Stegostoma tigrinum: one gene and its partners. The protein of the gene in region 2 purifies or fractionates together with the protein of the main gene of each other region. This does not show direct contact. Links are inferred from orthologs where the notes say so. Each region holds a gene or a part of one and is shown on either strand. Other genes may lie near its edges.

Region 1 (6,924 bases), on a different chromosome or scaffold from region 2:
AACAAGAGAAGTGATTGCTGGGCCCCTTGCTGAGATATTTGCATCATCAATAGCCACAAGTGACTGGAGGCTGGCTAATATGGTGTGACTATTTCGGAAAGGTGGTAAGGAGAAGCCAGGGAGCTATAAAGAGGTGAGCCTGACGTCAGTGTTGGGGAAGTTGTTGGAAAGGATCCTGAGGGACAGGATTTACATGTATTTGAAAAGGCAAGGACTGATTAGGGTTAGTCAACATGGCTTTGTGCATGGGAAGTAGTGTTTCACAATCTTGATTTAAGTTTTCTGAAGAAGTAACAAAAGAGGTTTGATGAAGGCAGAGTGGCGGACATGATCTATAAGGACTTCATTGAGGTGTTTGACAAGGTTTCACATGGTTACTGTTTAGCAAGGTTGAATCACATGAAATACAGGGAAAACTAGCCATTTGGATGCAGAACTACCTCAAAGATAGAAGACAAAGGCTGATGGTGGAGGGTTGCTTTTCAGACTGGAGGCCCGTGACTAGCAGTGTGCCACAAGGATCAGTGCTGGGTCCACTGCTTTTGTCATTTGTTGAAATGATTTGGATGTGAACTCGGGAGGTATATTTAGTATATTTGCAGATGGCACCAAAATTGATGGTACAGGAGACAGCCAAGAAGGTTACCTCAGAGTCCAACAGGACCTTGATCAAATGGGCCAGTGAGTTGAGAAATAGCAGATGGAGTTTAATTTAGATGAAAGTGAGGTGCTGCACTTTGGAAAGGCATATCAGGGCAGGACTTACAGACTTCATAGTAAGGTCCTGGGGAGTGTTGCTGAACAAAGAGATCTTGGAGTGCAGGTTCATAGTTCCATGAAAGTAGAGGCACAGGTAGACAGGATAGAGAAGAAGGCACTAGGTATGCTTACCCTTATTGGTCAGAGCATTGAGTATAGGTGATAGCAAGTCATGTTGTGGCCGTACAGGACATTGGTTAGGCTACTACTGGAATACTGTGTTCAGTTCTGGTCTCCATGATATAGGAAGGATGTTCAGAAACTTGAAACAGTTCAGAAAAGATTTATAAGGGCTGTGACAGGGTTGGAGGGTTTGAGTTTTAGGGAGATGGTAAATAGGCTGTGGCTATTTTCCCTGCAGCGTCAGAGGCTGAGGGATGACCTTAAAGAAGCTTATAAAATCTTGAGGGGCGTGGATAGGGTGAATAGACAAGGTCTTTTTCCTGGGTTAACGGAGCCCAAAACTAGAGTGCACAGATTTAAGATGAGGGGAAAGATTTAAAAGGGATCTATGGGGGCAACTTTTTCACACAGAGGATGGTGCGTGTATGGAATGAACTGCCAGATGAAGTGGTGGAGGCCAGTACAATTACAACATTTAAAAGGCATCTGGATGGGCATATGAATAGGAAGGGTTTAGCGGGAAATGGGCCAAATGCTGGCAAATGGGACTAGATTAATTTAGGATATCTGGTCAGCATGGACAAGTTGGCCCGAGAGGTTTGCTGTACGCTGTTCAGCTCTATGACAATACGGCCTCATCTAGCCTGCTAGTTATACAATGTAGATATATTAGTTAGTGCTGTGTGTATTATTTTTATCCCATGAGATTAGTAGCCATGTACTGATAATCCTCAAATGGTGTGAGTTATGACAGGGATGATAATCCACAGTGTGACTGCATTTGGTGAAGAGACAATGGTGTTACAAGAAGGAGTTTTACATGCAGCAATAGATTAAAATCCAGGAAGTATTGTGTGAGAGTAGCGTGAGGGCTTAATCAGTTCAAGCATTCAAGACAAAATTGGATTATCATCTGAAAAGGAAGAATGTGCTGATTTTTGGGGAAAGACAGGGGAATGGCACAAAGTACATTGAGACTGGCAAAGAAACAGCAAGCTGAAAGGCCTTCATTTCCTCTGTAACAACACTATGATTTTGGGTTAGTCAGGATCCAGCTATAGATGAAGCAGCTTGAAGTGGAAAGATAAATTCAGTAATTTAAATTAAGAAAAAGTGAAATTTTGAAATACTCAAACTGCAAGAGGAAAACAGAAAAGAACATAGTTTAAAATGAATTCCATGGTTTAATGCTTATGTGGATTGTGTGTTCTTTTTACTTTTTCAACTGAGGCAGTATTTCTATTGACCAGACAGCGTTATTCTAGCACGTACGGAAATTGCTTGGGGACTACAAGGAAACCCACTGTCGCACTCTCCTAAGTAAATGCCTGGGAAATTCAATTTTCTGCTGGCAATTCTATTATGCCACAAAAATCTAAGAAATTGGATAGTTGCAATGAAATTAAGTAAAATAGTTACTCAGGACATCTTGAATAAGAGTGAAGTACTCAGGAAAAGCTAGACCATTAAATACATTGCATAACTCTTGACCATACATTAAACTTACACTCAAACCCTGGCTAGATGCTGTTTGGGAACCTGACACCCCAGACCTCGTGACATACAAAACCCACTACTTTCTGGTCCAGATACCCCTTCCCCAAACCCACCAAACGCCCTGTCTCCAGATCCAACAGGCCCCTCCGTCAGGACCCATCAGACCCAACAAATCTGCCTTCCCAAATCAGCCCACAGACCACTGCCACCTGATTCAACCACCCCACACTGCCAGACGTGATTATCCATTTCCCCCCGAACTGCTGGACTGGACAAGAACTGAACCCTTCTGCTGTCTAGATATCCGCCCACTCTCCTGCTGCCAGGCCTGAAGCTCCCAGGATCTCTAACCTGTGCTAGACCTACCCATGCTGACTTATCTTAGACACTTGCCTTTCCCCTATCCACTTGGCACCCTAGTCTACCTCAATTGACACCCTACCCATTAGGTACTTTACTTAGCTGGCACCCTATTGTGTGCAGGCACCCATCTGGCATCGAACCACCTGCTACCATACCCACAGTCCAGCTGGCACCCTAACGTGGCACCATACTCCCCTGGTACCCTATAACCTCTACCTATCCTGCACCCAGTCATAGCCCCCTGACTTCACTCTTCCCCTATAACATTTGACGTTTGACAGCAACTAGGAGGATCATTGAGTTTCAGAACAGCGTCGCTAACTGCGAGAACTGTCAGAATGGAAGCATGGTTCCGCATTTCTAAGCGGCCCTGAGCGGAATCTCCTTCAGAAATGCGGACTTCTCCCTTCTTCCGTTAGGGAAGGACCAAGCTCCTCGGAAAATCTGGCCCCCGCGAAGTGGAAATGGGAACTGCAGATGCTGTAGAATCCACGGTAACAAAGTGTGGAGCTGGATGAACACAGCAGGCCAAGCAGCCTCTCAGGAGCACAAAAGCTGACGTTTCGGTCCTCTCTGATGAAGGGTCTAGGCCCAAAACGTCAGCTTTTGTGCTCCTGAGATGCTGCTTGGCCTGCTGTGTTCATCCAGCTCCACACTTTGCTACCTCGCGAAGTGGAGCTTATTTATTGCAAATTTCATCGTGATTTGTCACTTACATTTATTGCATAATAATATTCGCATCTACCCATAGTGTAAGGCTGCATTACATCTTAAAATTCAACACAAGGTGATCACTTCTTCCCTGGTACACGGGGGGAGGGTATTTTAAGCGGTCAGCAAATATATCAGCAACCAGAAAACATGTATGGTGCCTTATGTACAATATTTGGCGTACGTTGTGATGGTAAATGACATCGTGTTTACGTTACAACTTGCCATCTCCTGTTTTGAAATTATGGATGCAACAACCTCACTCTGCCACCCTCCGACCAAACTCCATTCGCTTTCAATACCCGCGCATGCGCTGTCTCCGGAAAATACCGAGGGAGACAAACCCTTTTCTCCGGAAATTATCGATCACATTTTCCGGGCTGTTCAGGGAGTCACAGTTACCATAGAAACCTGGATCTGCATGATTATTCTCCATCTTTATCCTCTTTACTTTATTCACGGGGACGGCTCTGACGCGAGTTTTGTTTTATTAAATTTTTTTTATTTTTTCCACTCTTGACCCCACCACCACCTGCATGTAGGCGGGCGCCGATCGGAACGAGTGATCCGTATCGTGGACGGGACGTGGCGCTTGTGCGGTTTTGTTCTCTCCGGAAGTATCAGTTAGCGTCTTCTGGAGACGGCGTGCGCGACCCCGAGCCCCAGACCGAGCCTTTTCCCCGGAAGTGGTGGCGCAGGGGCCGGTGGGAGGCCCCGCTGTAGCCGCGCGGTGACTGTGGTGGATAATGGCGGAGGCAGCGGCATCCATGGGGACGGCGGCGGCGGCAGCAGCTGGAGGAGCAGGAGGCAGCAGTAGTGGCGGCGCTGGTGGAGTTGGCTGGACTAAACAGGTCACGTGCAGGTAATCGAAAATGATGGTTCGTTTTTATGCCACATAGCTTTTGTACGCCCGAATGTAATCAGCCACACAACCATAAAAGGCCTTTCACAGGCGATCTGTTTAAACGTCAGTTGATGCTGCGAGTGGCAACGAAAACAGAAAACGATTGGTACTGTTCCTAGTTAGACCAGTTCCCGAGATGGGGCTTTTAGGTATGGCATGCATCAGGGTTTTATAGGAGTAAAAGAAATGGGTTTTGTTCAACTCCCTCTTGATTTCGGATTTTTAAAGTGTTCTGAATCTTTCCGGGCTCCTTTTCATGTTGTCTTTAAAAGGGATGTGTTTATTGGTTCTGAGGTGCCTTTGAAAGTTGCTAAGAAACTTTGAGGTCATGTCAACCAAAAACTGCCGAGAGTTAGTTTTCTCAATATTCGTAAGAGCCTAAAATATATTGTACGTTTACGTTTTAAATCGAATGTAAATAATTGAATATTTTGTACAGTTTTAGGAGCAATTGAGTAAAACCTTATTGTTTCTATTTTACTGTAGATTCGAGGGAGCGAATTGGTTTATAGCTGAACTTTTCTTTGCATCTCTACTCAAAATTTGCGAATTTGTATAATTTCGTATGGTCTTCTGGGTTGATCAGTCGAATGCTGTAACTTTGGATACTTGAAACAACAGTGTAGTATAGCACACAAATATTTTAGTCTTGGAGATAGTGTTGGGTAAAATCGCAAAGGGACTATGCTAGTTAGAGTGGGCAAAACTTTTTGCAGATGTAATTCAGTGTAAGAACTGAGATTTGCCCAATTGGAATCTAAAAGTAATTACAGTATTTAAATGGAAATAATCTAAAAACTATGACTGAGCAGAGAGATTTGTGGGTCCAGCCACAGAGTCAGTGGGGTTGATGCACGTATAACACTTCTGTTATTTGTCTCAGGTGGCTGGAATATAAAAGGTTGGAAGTTGTATTCTCATGATATAGGACTCTGGTTTAGACATTAACTGGGCTGCCGCATCCTGTTTTGAGGTCTGTATCTCAGAAAGCTATATTGAGTTTGTAAAACGCAAAGTACAGATTGGAGTTTCATCAGGGCTAGAAGAGTTAAATTATGAAAAACAATTGAGTAGGGTGTATTCCTTTAAATATAGAAGGTTAAGCACTTCTCTTGAGGTTTTTAAGATGATCACAGAAGCTAGTGGCTCCTCTCTTTTGCTGGTCTATTTCTTTTGGAGGGTATCTCCAGAACAACATAAACTTTGAGTTCATCCCTTGGTGAAATCAGAAGACACTTCCTCAAGTAAAATGCAATAGAAATCTTAAACAACTGTTGAAGAATGCCCAATTGAATGTTTAAAAGCCGGAAATGTTAGATTTTTGTTTTACAAAGAACTGTGGGTGTTAGATTTCTGTACAGCACTTTCTTTAAAAATCTTGTGTTCGTAACATGTACATCACTGGCATGGCCAACATTGTTGCCTATTTCTTGGTGGTGAAGTGCCTTCTTGAATGACTGGAATCCTTGTGCTGGAGATGCTCCCACATGGTATTAAGCAGTGTTCCAGGAATTTCACCTAAAGAAGATGAAGAATACTTCTTCAACTTGCAGGTGGTGGAAATCCCATACGTCTACTGTTTTTGTTTTTCTAGGTGGTAGAGGTCACAGGTTTGGAAGGTGTTGTTGAAGAAACTTTTTGGCAAGTTGCAGTCAAAGTTGTAGATAGTATGTATTGCAAACAGTGTCCTGCTGTTACCGGCAGCAAATGTTTCATGGGGTGGTTCATGTGTTGATTAAGAGGATGTCTGATGTCCACCTGGAGTGATATGCCTGAAAAATACCATGAAATCAGACAGTATCCTGTCTCACACAAGACTTACCACATCTCGCTTGATTGGCACCACCATTGCACAATGGCAGCAGTTTGTACAGTTACGTATATGCACTGCAGCAGCTCAACAAGATTTATGAAATTGCATCTTCCAAACCTATAACTTCAATCATCAAGAAATATGGGGGCAGCGGATGTATAGCAATAATGGCAATTGCAAGTTCCCCTTCAGGCAGCACAGAATACTAACTTGGAATCATTTTGAATTTATTTCACAGTTATTCAGTCACAGCCCTGGAAGTCCCTTCCTAAGAGCACTGTAGGTGTACCTCATGGTCAAAAAAGTGGCTCACTGCTAATTTGCAAGGAACATTAAGGATGGCTAATAAATGCTGGCATTGCCAGTGATGACCATGTCCGACAAAATTATATGTTAAATACAATAGGTGCAGGAGTAGATCATGAGACTCATTGATTCTGCTCTACCTTCAGTCTGATCAGGGTTGATTTTTAGCCTGAACTCTACTTTTCCCATTTGCACATCCCTTGATTCCTTGAGAAATCAAGGTTAGGAAATTAATTGTGTCACAGGCTACCCAGTCTGTGCCTTGCTCTTGTCACCACAGTATTTCAGCAGCTTGTCTGGTTGAGATTCTTAACAATGCTAACATGACATGAATGTTGATGTTGTGAGATTTAGCAATGAGAGTTCTCTTGAATGTTGTAGATAGGCTGTCATTTGCTGAAATTAGCTATTGACTGGCACTGTAGCTCTTGTCCCTAAGCAGCTCAAA
Region 2 (7,164 bases):
AAAGCACTTTGGACTGCGAAATCACTGAAGAAACACAAGATTTTCATTTGTATCAGCGATAATAGGAACTGCAGATGCTGGAGAATCCAAGATAACAAGGTGTAGAGCTGGATGAACACAGCAAGCCAAGCAGCATCTTAGGAACAAAGATGCTGCTCAGCCTGTTGTGTTCATCCAGCTCTACACCTTATCTCTTTTTCTTTTGTATTCTAGGTTTGAATCCCTTCAATCAATTTCTACCTGACACAGTACCAAACAGTTCTTATCAAAATCACAAATTACAGCCTATGTGACCGTGACCATAGTAAACTTTCTCTTTACATTTTTCTTAATCCATCTGCAGAGTTTGACATGGTTGACCATAGCAATAACCTCTTACACCTTTCAAACTGTCATTCAGATAGATGTAACTGCTGTCACCTGTTTCTACTCTTGTTTATTCTATTGTAGCCAGAGAATCACTGTCATGGTTCCTTTTCCTGTTATTGTGTTGATGTCTCTGGTGTCAAAGATATATCCTTGGTTCCTTCCTATTTCCCATCTACATGCTACCAAACGAGAACTCCATCCAAAAGCACAGCATTAGTTTTCACACGTACACTATAACAACACACAAATCTACCTTCACCAGCTTGACTTCTTCACTGCTGATAAATGAGCAGACTGCTTATCCGATATCCGGTACTGGTTGAGTAGAAATTTCCTCCAATTAAATATTGTGAAGTCTGAAGTCATTGCCTTTAACCCAAATCCATACCCTATTCCCTAGTTACAAACTCTATTCCTTTCGCTGATAACAGTCTAATATTAAGTCAGACTGGCATTGATCCTGAACTGAACCTCTGATTTCCCATTCATGCTATCGCTAAGAATGTCTACTTCCACATTGTAACATCATCTGAAGTCAGTTCTGTCTCAGCTCAGAGATAATAGGAACTGCAGATGCTGGAGAATCCGAGATAACAAAGTGTAGAGTTGGATAAACGCAGCAGGCCAAGCAGCATCTTAGGAGCAGAAAAGCTGACATTCTGGGCCTAGATCAGCTCTACACTTTGTTATCTCTGCCTCAGCTCGTCTATCTTCTCTGTCTCTAGATTTGACCATTCCAATGCACCTTTGGCTGGTCTCCCATAACCTATACTCTATTTAGATCATTCAAAATATTGTTGCCTGCATGTTAACACACAAGTACCATTGCCCTATCATCCTTGTGCTCACTGACCTCCAAACAAGCAATGTTATCCTTTTGAAATTCTCATTTTTCAAATCCCTCTATTGTCTGAACTTCTCCCCCATCCCAAGCCCCACAATCCCCTGGGATATCTGCAATCCACTAACTCTTGCCTCTTGTGCATTACCCTAAATTTTAATTACTACACCAGTGGTCGCTGTATCTGGGGCGCAAACTTTGGAAATCCCTCCTGACACCTCTCCCCACTTTCCATTTTTACAACACTCCTTAATGGGTTTGTTGTCACACAATTGTTTTATAATGTTCCTCTGCCTAGTAAGGTTTTGCAAGATTCCATAAAAAATATTGCTGTGCCTGACAGCTGTGAAACAGAGCAATGAAATATCATAACCCCTCCCCAACTTACAACCAAAATGAAGATTTCCCCCAAGACAGTAGGAACTGCAGATGCTGGAGAATCGGAGATAACAAGGTGTAGAGCTGGATGAGCACAGCAGGCCAAGCAGCATCAGAGGGGTCTAGGCCGGATATGTCAGCCTTCCTGCTCGGCCTGCTGTGTTCATCCAGCTCTACACCTTGTTATCTATTGAAGATTTCCCCAGTTGCTTTGACCATGCAGGAGCTTCTGCCTCTTGACCCAGACATAATCACAGCTTCGGAGGGGGCCAGGGCACGACGGAGGTGGGACCCAATCTTGTAGTCCGTGAATACCCTTGTGGGCCAGACTCTTCAGAGAGTAACCTGAAGGGATAGACTATGGCAATAAAATGTGAGGCTGGATGAACACAGCAGGCCAAGCAGCATCTCAGGAGCACAAAAGCTGACGTTTCGGGCCTAGGCCCTTCATCAGAGAGGGGGATGGGATGAGGGTTCTGGAATAAATAGGGAGAGAGGGGGAGGCGGACCGAAGATGGAGAGAAAAGAAGATAGGTGGAGAGGAGAGTATAGGTGCAGAGGTGGGGAGGGGATAGGTCAGTCCAGGGAAGACAGACAGGTCAAGGAGGTGGGATGAGGTTAGTAGGTAGATGGGGGTGCGGCTTGGGGTGGGAGGAAGGGATGGGTGAGAGGAAGAACAGGTTAGGGAGGCAGAGACAGGTTGGACTGGTTTTGGGATGCAGTGGGTGGAGGGGAAGAGCTGGGCTGGTTGTGTGGCGCAGTGGGGGGAGGGGACGAACTGGGCTGGTTTAGGGATGCGGTGAGGGAAGGGGAGATTTTGAAACTGGTGAAGTCCCACTTCCTACAGACTAAGCGGGTGGCCATGGGCACCCGCATGGGCCCCAGCTATGCCTGCCTCTTTGTAGGTTACGTGGAACAGTCCCTCTTCCGCACCTACACAGGCCCCAAACCCCACCTCTTCCTCCGGTACATTGATGACTGTATCGGCGCCACCTCTTGCTCCCCAGAGAAGCTCGAACAGTTCATCCACTTCACCAACACCTTCCACCCCAACCTTCAGTTCACCTGGGCCATCTCCAGCACATCCCTCACCTTCCTGGACCTCTCAGTCTCCATCTCAGGCAACCAGCTTGTAACTGATGTCCATTTCAAGCCCACCGACTTCCACAGCTACCTAGAATACACCTCCTCCCACCCACCCTCCTGCAAAAATTCCATCCCCTATTCCCAATTCTTCCGCCTCCGCCGCATCTGCTCCCACGATAAGACATTCCACTCCAGCACATCCCAGATGTCCAAGTTCTTCAAGGACCGCAACTTTCCCCCCACAGTGATCGAGAATGCCCTTGACCGCGTCTCCCGCATTTCCCGCAACACATCCCTCACACCCTGCCCCCGCCACAACTGCCCAAAGAGGATCCCCCTCGTTCTCACACACCACCCCACCAACCTCTGGATACAACGCATCATCCTCCGACACTTCCGCCATCTACAATCCGACCCCACCACCCAAGACATTTTTCCATCCCCACCCCTGTCTGCTTTCCGGAGAGACCACTCTCTCTGTGACTCCCTTGTTCGCTCCACACTGCCCTCCAACCCCACCACATCCGGCACCTTCCCCTGCAACCGCAGAAAATGCTACACAATGATGCCACCCGAAGGTTGTAGGAACAGCAACTCATATTGCGCCTGGGAACCCTGCAGCCTAATGGTATCAACGTTGACTTCACCAGCTTCAAAATCTCCGCAGTGCCACAATGATGCCACCCGAAGGTTGTAGGAACAGCAACTCATATTGCGCCTGGGAACCCTGCAGCCTAATGGTATCAACGTTGACTTCACCAGCTTCAAAATCTCCCCTTCCCCCACCGCATCCCAAAACCAGCCCAGTTCGTCCCCTCTCCCCACTGCACCACACAACCAGCCCAGCTCTTCCCCTCCACCCACTGCATCCCAAAACCAGTCCAGCCTGTCTCTGCCTCCCTAACCTGTTCTTCCTCTCACCCATCCCTTCCTCCCAGCCCAAGCCGCACCCCCATCTACCTCATCCCACCTCCTTGACCTGTCCGTCTTCCCTGGGCTGACCTATCCCCTCCCCACCTACCCACCTATACTCTCTCCACCTATCTTCTTTTCTCTCCATCTTCGGTCCGCCTCCCCCTCTCTCCCTATTTATTCCAGAACCCTCACCCCATCCCCCTCTCTGATGAAGGGTCTAGGCCCGAAACGTCAGCTTTTGTGCTCCTGAGATGCTGCTTGGCCTGCTGTGTTCATCCAGCTTCACACTTTATTATCTAGGATTCTTCAGCATCTGCAGTTCCCATTATCTCGGATAGACTATGGCACATGCTTTGCGTTGGAAGTCTTTTGCAAACCTGCTGAACTTGAAGGGACAGAAACTCTGAGCTGTTGAGCCTGCAGAGGGCAGCGGCTGTAGCTGACTAAGCTGAGTTGTTGGGTTTTTTTCTTTCCTCCTCTCTTGTTCATTTTGCCTTTCATTCTGATGGCGCAGGAAATGACGGGACCGTTTGCTGGTTGATATAAAAAGCCTCCTCCTCCATTACTCTCTCTCCGTCTCCTAGCCACATGTGTGAGTGTGGAAAAGCTCCTGAGGTAGCGCACACTCATACGTGAAAAAAAATCTTTAAAAAAATCAAAAAAATCTTATAAACAGAAAAAAACAAAAATAAAAATCGGTGGAACTAAGTTGTGAAGAGGGCGAAAATCCAGTTACTTTTAATAATTTTAAAAAAAAGGAAAAATAAAGCCAACCAGGTCTCAGCCACGCTCTGGGATTTATCGCCTGGAATCGGGTGCGGACAAACCTTCCGAAGTTTCTGGAAGCTGAAGTATCTGAAGCGGTTTTTAAAAACAAAACAAAAGAAAAGAATTATAAGAGCCGGGGATCTGTTAACTCAATAGGCCACAGGCTTCAGGAGATAAGGAAGAGAATCAGATTTAACCGGTTCGAGCATTTCTGGAAAGTTCTTTGCCCGACGGTTCCTCGCCCACTCCCCTTTTTCTTTCAATTCCTCGCGCTCGCTGTCTCCCGTTTCGTTAGGGGGGGGGGGGGGGGGAAAGTTGATCGTTTAATTTGTGTCGGACTGTCTGAGGATGAATCAGACCGGTGCCAGTTACCCGATGGCCTCGCTTTATGTCGGCGACCTGCACCCAGATGTGACCGAGGCGATGCTGTATGAGAAATTTAGTCCGGCCGGGCCTGTGCTCTCCATCAGGGTTTGTAGAGACATGATCACCAGGAGGTCGCTCGGATACGCCTATGTCAACTTCCAGCAGCCCGCAGACGGTGAGCCAGACGCTTTATTTTTGTTTTTTTTAAAAAAAATCTTCGACCGAACCACATCCGCCCTTCTCCCCAGGCTTCTCCATCCAGCCCCTCGTCACTGGGGGCTGTGTGGCTGCTGGAGGCCAACGTCCAAACTCATCACTGCCCAGAGATATAAATACCACTGGCTGCTGGCAAGCGAAAGGAAATGTTTCTCGTCTGTCCGATGGTTTGAATAGCGCCAAACTTTTCTCATCTGGGAGATCTCCCTGCCCCGATCTTTAAAATACACCGCCAGTTAGTTTAAAACCTCGTCGATTTCATTGCAGGTAGCTGAAATGATGGGCTAGTAAAATTAAAAAAGGTTACGAATTCTGAAGGGATTGAAATCTCATGACCTTGGGGATCTCCGTTTGTAAACACAATGTCACAGGTATGAAAATCGATAATGACTTGTAACATTTGTCAATGTCACGGTTGGCAATGAATTGGCAGCTGGCACAGTTCTTTTTAAGATGTTCTAAAGAAATTACAGGCAGGGCCATGACAAGGTAAATATCCAGGAGGTGAAAAGCATTTCAGGCACAAAAAACAGTTATGGGCCTGATGTCCTTGAGGAAGAAAAGTTGTAGAGCACCTATCATGGCTCAATGAGCTGATGAAGGACTTGATTTATTACTAGGCCAAACAACCTACAAAAACTGTTCATTAGCTATTTTTAGCAGAGATTTTGGAAAATGCACCTATAATTAGCTTCAGTGTTTCTGGGTTGAGGGGAAATAAAAAGCAATTAGTGTCCAATACCAGATTTCTTCAGATGAACCCCTTGTGGAGAGTTCATGGCTGTGACTCAGAGTTAGCGAGCAAATGCAGTCTAAACTTTGCATTTATATAATGTCCTTTTGGTTAAGACCTCTGAAGGAACCATTATATTGTACAGGATGGAAGGAGGACCTAGCAGTTTTCTACTGTCATTGGTATAGTACTCTAAAATTGGATTAGAGTTTTGTACATATTAAAATTCAAGATTGAAGTGAAAGGCACCCATATTCCCAGAGGACTATGGGTCGCTTTCTTCTTAGAATACAAAAATAACTGCTGGTGAGTTTAATCTGAGGGCCACCATGTGTTGGGTGAGGGGCAGGATTGAGAACGCAGTTCCTTCATGGTAACCTCAGTCGATACAGGAATTGAACCCATGCTTTTGGTGTCACTGGATGTTGCAAAGTAGCAGTTCAGCCAAGGGACTTAACGGGTAGTCACTTTGAAGGATGCCTTCAATATTAAAATGTCGTTGAAGTATAGTGAAGATGTGTCTGAAGTGCTAATATGCAGCAATATGATCCTTGTCAGTGACTGAATGCTTTGCATTGTTGCTGAGCAGTTCTCCTTTATCTTCAAGCATAATGAGCTGAAGTAGATTGTGACTTGGGTTTGAGATCAGAAAACTTAGCAAATTACAGCCTTTGAACCCTGGATTTTCTCGAATGTCTGGTTCACCACTATATCAGGTTATCCATTTATCCACTAAGTGATGAGAGAGTGTCTGATTGTATGTACTTTAATTGTAATAAGATAGTTTTCTAGCCTTTTACTCACTTTTGTACTTAAAATTGTTTTTTGTCTGCTATGTTGGACTAGTTCATTCAATCTCATCTGGCATTACATAGTTTCTGCACAGAGAACATCTACCCTTTCCCTTCCTCTGATTGTTGGGTCAAGTTTTGTGTATTTGCAACAATGCTGGGGATTATCAGCAGATGGTATTCATCTTGGCTTTAGAAAGTGCAGTGTTAGCCATTTCGTATGTTACTTTGTCCCTGCTGTGATTGAATTTTGGAAAAAATTGGCATCTATCACCTTGGAAATTTTACGATGAGGAAAAGCTATTTGGTGTCTTCTAGTAACTTAAATTCATTTTACAATAGGATAGTAGCAGACATTGTCTAATTTCTTGTTCAGCCGAATAAGTTTCAGCACACAAGTAATATATCTTAGCACAAGTTATAGTGCTTAAAACAATAACTAGTGTGCTGAAATATGGATAATTATACCTTTTGATTTAATTGTTGCACTTAGATTATTAGTTTCACTTTGTTTTAATGTCTGTTAAAATTTTTAAAAAATCTTTTTCAGTTGTTGTTCTGTGATCCTCCTGACATCACAGCACCAGCTCTAACACAAAACAATGAAAGGTTCTGATGCTGAGCGAAACTGTGCAACTATCGTGGGCATAACCACAGTTCTCAGCCAATCGGAATCCTCCTTAATCTAAATCAGAAATAAA
Region 3 (7,707 bases), on a different chromosome or scaffold from region 2:
AGAATGATTATGATGTTTTTGTCCTTTTGCAGTCCTTCCAGGGCCTTCTTTTTTGTTGTGTTGAGCATGTTAAGCTTGTTCCTTCTGGTCAGTATCAGGACCACTGTCTGTCTTGTGGCTTGTTGTGTTTCCTCATTGCTGGAGGTGCTGATCCGTCATACTGCAGAACATAATTGGGTTTGGTACTCTTAAAAAAAACAGCTTGGATTACTCCATGTCCCTTAGATAGATGCTGGCTGGTACAAAACTTTAACTTTGTCAAAAAGAAACACCCTGTCATTTTTGTCTTGCACTGATCTGGACAGAATCACAAGAGTACCAAATCTAAAAGGGAATTACAATTTATACTGAATGATTTTTCAAAGTGTGGCTCATTTGGCTGTGTTAGTAGCCTGTACTCACACATTTGGCCCTGTCCTATTTAGCGGGGACATGCCCACACATTACCTCTTTCTCAAATCAACAGAAGCTTGAGGGGTAGCAGGGGAGCCATTCTCCGGGCCATGCTCATAGCAATGTCTCACTCAATATGAGTTGACGTGTCTGGTTTCAATTTAAACAAAAGCTTGAAGTTAACTGTCCCCTGATACATTCTTCACAGCAACACTCCAGCAATTTAATTCACTTGCTAAACATTCAGCAATCTCTTTCAGTGCAGTACAGATTTTCCTTTTGAGATTTGGTATTCTTGTGACCTCTGTCCTGATGGGTTTCTGGATAGTCAGGTGACCTAGGTAGGTTCTGGTTGGAAAGAGGTAATGTATTTGCTTCAAAATACAAACCCATTTTCCAGGCGCAAATTTACTGCCCTCGACATTTTAACGGGTTGTGTTGAAAGGATATTAAAAGGCTGCCCAATCTGTCAACACCAAGAGTTATGGAATGTCAAACAGGGATTTTCAATAAGCTAATCATAACTGTGATATTGGTGGCATATCAATCATTACAAGCCCCCATCTATTAGCTGCATACCAATCACCTGAGCTCCAACCCATTATGTGAACTAAAACTGCCATCATGAAACTGAAACCAGCTTAAACAGGGGTTACACCTTATGACGTCTTATTATTTACTCCTTTACGGAGAGAGAGGGCCCTTCAGCCCTTTTCATTCTAGAGGATGGTCTGAAATGTTGTGATGCATTTCGTGCTACTCTGTTAGCATTCTAAGTGCGTGTTTCATCACTGGAACTTATCTTTTCTTAAATGGATGTGTGTCTGCGTGTGCTTGAGAAGGTGGGTTTTTCATTGCATTTCCTTTTTGGGTTCTCTGAAAATAAATTTTTCTCCTTTCTTATGGCTTGAACTGACATATTTATTCCTTAAAAAGACAACACTCAAAGGTTTGAAACACTTCTCAAACCAACAGAGAGGTAAGAAAAAAGGGGAATAGTTATCCAATGACCTCTCCTGTCTTTAATAGTGCTACTTTACAGGTGAGACAGAGAGATATTGATAACAGTGGTGGAGAGTAGGAGGCAGGTAAAGCAGAGGCAGATAGGTCTTTGAGAAGATAGCAGGTAGGGTAAGGGTTATCTGGGGTAGACAGAAAGTAGATGAGGGGTATAGACAGGGTGGATAGCAAAAAGCTTTTTCCCAGAGTGGGGGACTCAATTACTAGGGGTCATGAGTTCAAAGTGAGAGGAGGAAAGTTTAAGGGAGATATGCGAGGAAAGTTCTTTACACAGAGGGTGGTGGGTGCCTGGAACGCGTTGCCAGCGGAGGTGGTAGACGCAGACACGTTAGCGTCTTTTAAGATATATTTGGACAGGTACATGGATGGGCAGGGAGCAAATGGACACAGACCGTTAGAAAATAGATGACAGGTTAGACAGAGGATCTTGATCGGCGCAGGCTTGGAGGGCCGAAGGGCCTGTTCCTGTGCTGTAGGTTTCTTTGTTTCTTTGTTAGATTGACCAGAGCACTGAAGTTGAGTAAGAGTGAAAAAAATTGCATTTTGTCAAAGATTTTCATCTTGCACTCATCAGTTCAAAAGAAGGTTGTTTTGTAATACAATTTGCACTGTAGGAAAAACAAACAGTGATTAGTTGGCAAGAAGTCTCTGATTGGTAGAGGTGTTGCCATGGAAATTCTACCACTACAAATACTTAAGTGCTGTGCGTTAATAGATGAAGTTTGTGTGGACGGGCAGTTACACATATTAATACACAGGGCCCTGCTCTTTGCAGTTAGAACGAACCTCTACAATGCACTGTGTCTGTTCCAATTCAACAAAATACGTGACCACCATTTGCTGGTTCACTTCTGAGGGAAATGACTTTATCACACAGAATCAACTTTCATGGTTCAAAATTTAACAAAGCCTAGCAGTTAACTGTCAATCTCCATACCATGGTCATAAACAGGGTGCGTCAAAGAAGCAGTTGCCTGTTTCACTGGTGAAGCTGTTCTCTACCAAGGAAATCCAAGAGATAAAAGGTTCTCTGGTTCAAAATGCCCTCCAGCCCCTCATTGTCAAGAAGTAAGTCACAGAAAATAATCTTCCAGCAGCAACTATCAACTTTCTAATACTGGAAAGAACACACTCTGAGAGAATAATGAAACCCATAGATCACTTGACTTTGTAAAGTCAGCGACCTGAGGCAGATGGGGTAGTGGTAAATATAATTATGAATGCAAATGTAAAATAATAATCAAAATAAAAGCATGGTTGTTATGGGACTGAAAGGGTTAATACTATAGTTTGCAGTAAGTAGTACATACTCGAGTGATGTCACAAGGATTGTGGGCTGGATATCTTAAATCTTAAGGGAATGAGAAGTCATATCTATGTCTTCCTCAGAGTGTCTGTAACAATATCGATCCTATTCACATAACCTGGACGAGTTGCTTACGTGTAATAACCTACATTAAGGGAGACAGTGGTGTCGTGGGTTAGTCATGCAGAACCACAGGCTAATGTTCTGGGGATTAAAAACAGAACATGCTGGACAAACTCACCAGATTTGGCATCATCATTAGTGAGAGAAAGAGAGTTAATGTTTCAAGTGCAATATAGCTCTTCTTCAGAATCTTCTTTGATAGTATTATGGGTTCGAATCCCAACAAGGCAGAGATGAAATTCCAATTCAGTTTTTAAAAATGTAAGATTAAATGTTGGCCTAATGGTGATGAAGTAATGATTGGTGAGGGTCTTTGCAGCAATGTCTTTTCGCGAAGGAACTAGGAACTGGAGTCAGCTGTCCAGCTCCTGAGCCTCTTCCACCATTCAAAGAGACCTTTGCTGGTCTGTGGCTTAAACCCTTAATACTTCTGCTTAACAAAAAAAATGATCAATTCCATATTTAAATTAATAACTGATCCAGCATCCACTGCCGTTTGTGGCTGGGAGTTCCAAACATCTATCAGCCATTACGTGATCAGAGATAATGGGAACTACAGATGCTGGAGAATCCAAGATAACAATGAACACAGCAGGCCAAGCAGCCATTATGTGTAGAAGTCCTTCCTAATCTCTCCTGAATTGCCTGGCCCTAATTGTCAGACAATGGCCCCCTGGTGGAAGCAACATGGGCTGAATGGCCTCCTTCTATGATGATCAGAGTGCCATGATATTATTGATGAGATCAGCCTCCTTCTCTTGAATTTAGAAGGTTATGGGGTGATCTGACTCAAGTCTTCGAGATATTAAAAGACAAGTTAGATGAAGATATACTATTCCCACCAATTGGAGATTCTAGAAGCAGGGTTCGATCATTCAGGAGGAATGTTAGAAAGCATTGCTACACACAGGTTTGGAATTCTGTTCCACAAATAACAGTGGATGCTAGATCAATTGTTAGCTTTAAATCTGAGATGGCTAACTTTTTTCTGAAGCGTAGTTATTAAGAGATATGAGCCAAAGGCAGTGATGTGGTAGGAGACCACAAAGAAACGATGATATCACTGCATTGTAGAAAAGCTTGACGGGCCAAATGGACTATTCCTATTCGTACATAGCAGATTTATGATTATCAGATCAACCATGATCTCATTAGTCAGAAGTCACACGATACCAGGTTATAGACCAACACGTTTATCTGAAATCACAAGCTTTTGTAGCACTACTCCTTCATCAGACTACGTGGAGGAAAACGCACAGGCACAGAAATTATTTCATTTTTTAAAATTATTTCTTTTCTTAAATCATTTAGGTCATAGGTCATCCTTGCACTTGCTATTCAGCTGTTAACATTTTACTCACACCATTTGACACTCATTTGTCCTGTTTCTTGACACTCTTAATCACCTGGAATGACGTTGTAAATAACTCTCCGTCTATAGATTCTGTACCTGTAACTCCCTCCACTTCAGATGACAGACCAGCATTCTGAAAGATTATGTTTTCAAATAAACCTGTCGGACTATAACCTGATGTCATGTGCTTTCTGACCTTGTCCATCGTGAACTAATTAAAGCCTGCTGTCATTTATCGGCTGAATGGCTTTCTCTTGTTCCTTTATAACAAATCTGTGATAATCACTTTGAACAGCGGAGCAGAATCGATGGGTTGAACGGCCGACTTCCTCCTATTCCCAAGGCCTTCTGGTCGATTGGAGGACCATCCAGCCTTCGTCCTGGTCGCTTCTTGCTCTCGGGCTCTTTGGCGGCGAACAAAGGGGCGGCAGTTAACCTGATTGTTGCGCACTTCCGGCTGTTTTGTTTTGAACCGGATGCGGGGTGAGGGTCTTCGCGAGCGACTTCCGCCGGAAGTGAATGTTGTTTTGGGGGGAGGGGAGGGGTCTGAAGCGGCGAACGGTTACGGACGATGGAGGGCGGCAAACCCGCCGCTTTCGACCGGGCCCCGGGAGCGGGCCGTGGGCGGGGCCGGAGCTTCAGCGGTAGCAGTAGTGGTGGCGCCACCACCACCGGAGGGCCGCAAGCCCCGGGCCCGGGTGGAGTTAGGGCCCAGGGCCACGGTGACGGTGCTCAGGAAAACGGGCTGTGCGCGGCCCCGGGCTCAGGGCCTGGAGTCGGCCCTGCGGCTGGGAGCGGCCCTGGAGCCGCCGCCGCTGCCGCCAACGGGGCGGCGATCGTGCAGGGCAACGGCGTTCACGTGAAGAGCGGTATCCAGCAGCAGGAGCCCCTGAGACAGCCGCGGAGCAGCCCACCTGCCGCTGAGTACTCAGGTAAATGGGGCGAGCAGCCCATCAACACAGACTGCAGGTCATGTGTGGCACTTAGTGGGCATTTGCGGGGGCCTCACCTCCCCGATAATGTGTAGGCTCTCAGCTTGGAGGTAGTCACTTGCATTGTTATCAGGGCAAGTCTGTGAGCGGTTTGTGGGGGTACAAAATCGTTGACATGAGGGAAACCTCTGGAAGTCTACATCGATGTCAGGAGAGTGTGTAGAATCTGTGCGGCGTGCAGGGTGCGTTGTTATCAAACTATATACTCTGGATGTGTCAGGGAGTTCAATTACATTGCTGTTGGGGAATCGAAAGAATCAGTACAGTTTGCTGAATTCAAGTACAGTAATAATGGAGTTATCTAGACCATAAAGATAATCAGTTCAATTACACCCGTATTGGGAATGTGTCAGATCTTGGAGATTAGAGAGCCTGGGTAGTCCGTATCAACGAGATACATTGAATCAGCAGAGATTGTAGGGAATTGAAATACATTGCTGAAAGGGGAATGTATATAGAGCCATATAACATGGAAACAGACGCTTATGTCCAACTCAAGCTGCCTCTGATCAACATCTTTGTTATTCACCTTATCCATGCCCTTATGATGTTATGAACCTCTATAAGGTCACACCTTCATTTCCTACACTCAACGAAAAAAGATCCAACCTTTCTTTGTAACTCAAACGCTCCAGTCTTGGCAATGTCCTGGTAAATCTTTTCTGAATCCTCTCCAATTTAACAATATCCTAAATCAGCGTGATTGTAGAAATTGCAGTAAGCTCAGGTAGATTTATTTCAGACAATGTAGAGAATCCAGAACATCCACAAAGGATTCAGGCCTGTTAATACCTAAGTGATGGCAGGTTGTATATAATCAAGGGGTAAGTTATGTCTCATTAATTTCTTGTACTTTGGCAGAATCAAAATTTTGTGTATATATTTTATACTGCTTTCCATTCTGGATAATGACTGCTCGCCAATATGCTTTACTTTCAGTTCCTCAACCAATTCGAAGTCCATACTCCTTGATTTAATTCGTTTCTGGAGTATGAGCCTTGCTGCCTAGATTAACATTTATTGCCCACAGTGAGCTGTCTCCTCAACCTGTTGACAGCCTTGGGGTTGGGGGGAGGGGGGGTGAAGAGAGAGAAGAACAGACAACTGTAATGCTTCCCAAAAGTTAAACTTCCTGTCTACTTCTGCTAACCTTTGACGTATCAAGACTTGATTAACTACTTGTAAAAATATTCAATAACTCTTTTCCCACTGCCATTTGAAGTGAGGAGTGTTGCAAAGATTCATGACTCTCTGCAAGAGAAGAAAATGCTTTGTCTGTGTTTTTAACAAGCAGCCCCTGATTTTTAGGCTTTGACCCACAATTCTTGATTCTCTTGTTAGAGGAAGCATGCTTTGCAGTTTTGCCCTGTCAAAGTCCATTGGGATGTCACATGTTGCATTCCAGTGGGGTTACTCTTCTAAACTTCCAGCAGATACAAGCCCTGCCTGTCAATCTTTTTCTCATAGGACACCCCACCAATTTCAGTTTTAGTGCAGTGAGCCTTCTCTGAACAGGTTCCATTGGAACTACATCCTTCCTTAAGTGAGGTGATCAATACTGGGTCTAGGCCCAAAACATTAGCTTTTCTGTTCCTTTGCTGCTTAGCCTGCTTTGTTCGTCCAGCCCTACTCCCTGTTATGTGTGATCAATACTGTGTACTGTTTTCCAGATGCAGTTTTACCAGTGCCCTGTTTAAATGAAGCGTAACCTTTCTCAATTTGTATTCAATTTTACTTTGAATAAATCATCACGTTCTTTCAGCTTTCCAAATTATCTGCTGTATCTGTAGCTTTTGCAATTAATTCAGTAGGGCATCCAGATCCCTCTGCATCTCAAAGCTGTGCAGTCTCTCACTATTTGGATAATATGCTGTGTTTTGTTTTTGTTCTTCCTGTAAAAATTGATGTTTTTGCATTCTTGTGCAAGACACTGTTTACTAGATCTTTGCCTGCTCACTTAAGCTAGCTGCATCTCTTTGAAGCCTATTCTTGTTCTCTGTTCCTACCTATTCTCCTTTCTGCCTTGTGTTATCAGCAAATTTGGTGATCAGACTTTCTGTCCTTTTGCCAAGCGTTTTTACAAATTGTAAACACTTGTGGTCCCTGCATGGATCTGTGTGACACACCAAGCATTGCACCTTGCGAACCAGAAGGCAACAATTCCGCATCTCTTTACTGTTAGCTAGCCAATCTGCAATCCACGCCAATGTGTTATCACTATACAATGAGCTTTCATTTTGCACAATAACCTTTGATGTAACGCCTCATCAGAAGCCTGCTAGAAATCTATGTACAAGAGATCTATTCTCCTCTTAATAGTACTTAAGAGAATTCTACTAAGTCAGTTAAATGTGATCTCTTTCAGAAAAGTATGTTACCTGTGCCTGAGTAACCTGAACGTTTTTAGTACGCTTCCATAATGTCTTTAACAATGATTTCAAACGTCAAACTAACTGTAGATTCCTGCACTGACTGTCTCCCTTTTTGAATAAGAGTTCCATTCACTATCCTCCAATCTA

What was found. The genes of interacting proteins can lie anywhere in the genome.
Region 1: the proteins of polyadenylate-binding protein 4-like (region 2) and mkrn1 purify together in Homo sapiens (affinity purification with mass spectrometry; 3 studies listed by BioGRID and IntAct, with this or other methods). This does not show direct contact. The link is inferred for Stegostoma tigrinum from reciprocal best matches to the Homo sapiens genes PABPC4 and MKRN1.
Region 3: the proteins of polyadenylate-binding protein 4-like (region 2) and paip1 purify together in Homo sapiens (co-immunoprecipitation; 3 studies listed by BioGRID and IntAct, with this or other methods). This does not show direct contact. The link is inferred for Stegostoma tigrinum from reciprocal best matches to the Homo sapiens genes PABPC4 and PAIP1.

Annotation. Positions count from the first base shown.
Region 1 is NC_081371.1:23,327,791-23,334,714, reverse strand, and holds the start of mkrn1 (probable E3 ubiquitin-protein ligase makorin-1), read left to right. Parts: upstream 1-3,908; 5' UTR 3,909-4,199; coding exon 4,200-4,315; intron 4,316-6,924. UniProt on the Homo sapiens protein: E3 ubiquitin ligase catalyzing the covalent attachment of ubiquitin moieties onto substrate proteins. These substrates include FILIP1, p53/TP53, CDKN1A and TERT.
Region 2 is NC_081377.1:33,630,409-33,637,572, forward strand, and holds the start of polyadenylate-binding protein 4-like, read left to right. Parts: upstream 1-4,146; 5' UTR 4,147-4,705; coding exon 4,706-4,898; intron 4,899-5,206; exon of another isoform or gene 5,207-5,310; intron 5,311-7,013; exon of another isoform or gene 7,014-7,164.
Region 3 is NC_081356.1:133,967,171-133,974,877, reverse strand, and holds the start of paip1 (polyadenylate-binding protein-interacting protein 1), read left to right. Parts: upstream 1-4,691; 5' UTR 4,692-4,767; coding exon 4,768-5,128; intron 5,129-7,707. UniProt on the Homo sapiens protein: Acts as a coactivator in the regulation of translation initiation of poly(A)-containing mRNAs. Its stimulatory activity on translation is mediated via its action on PABPC1. Competes with PAIP2 for binding to PABPC1.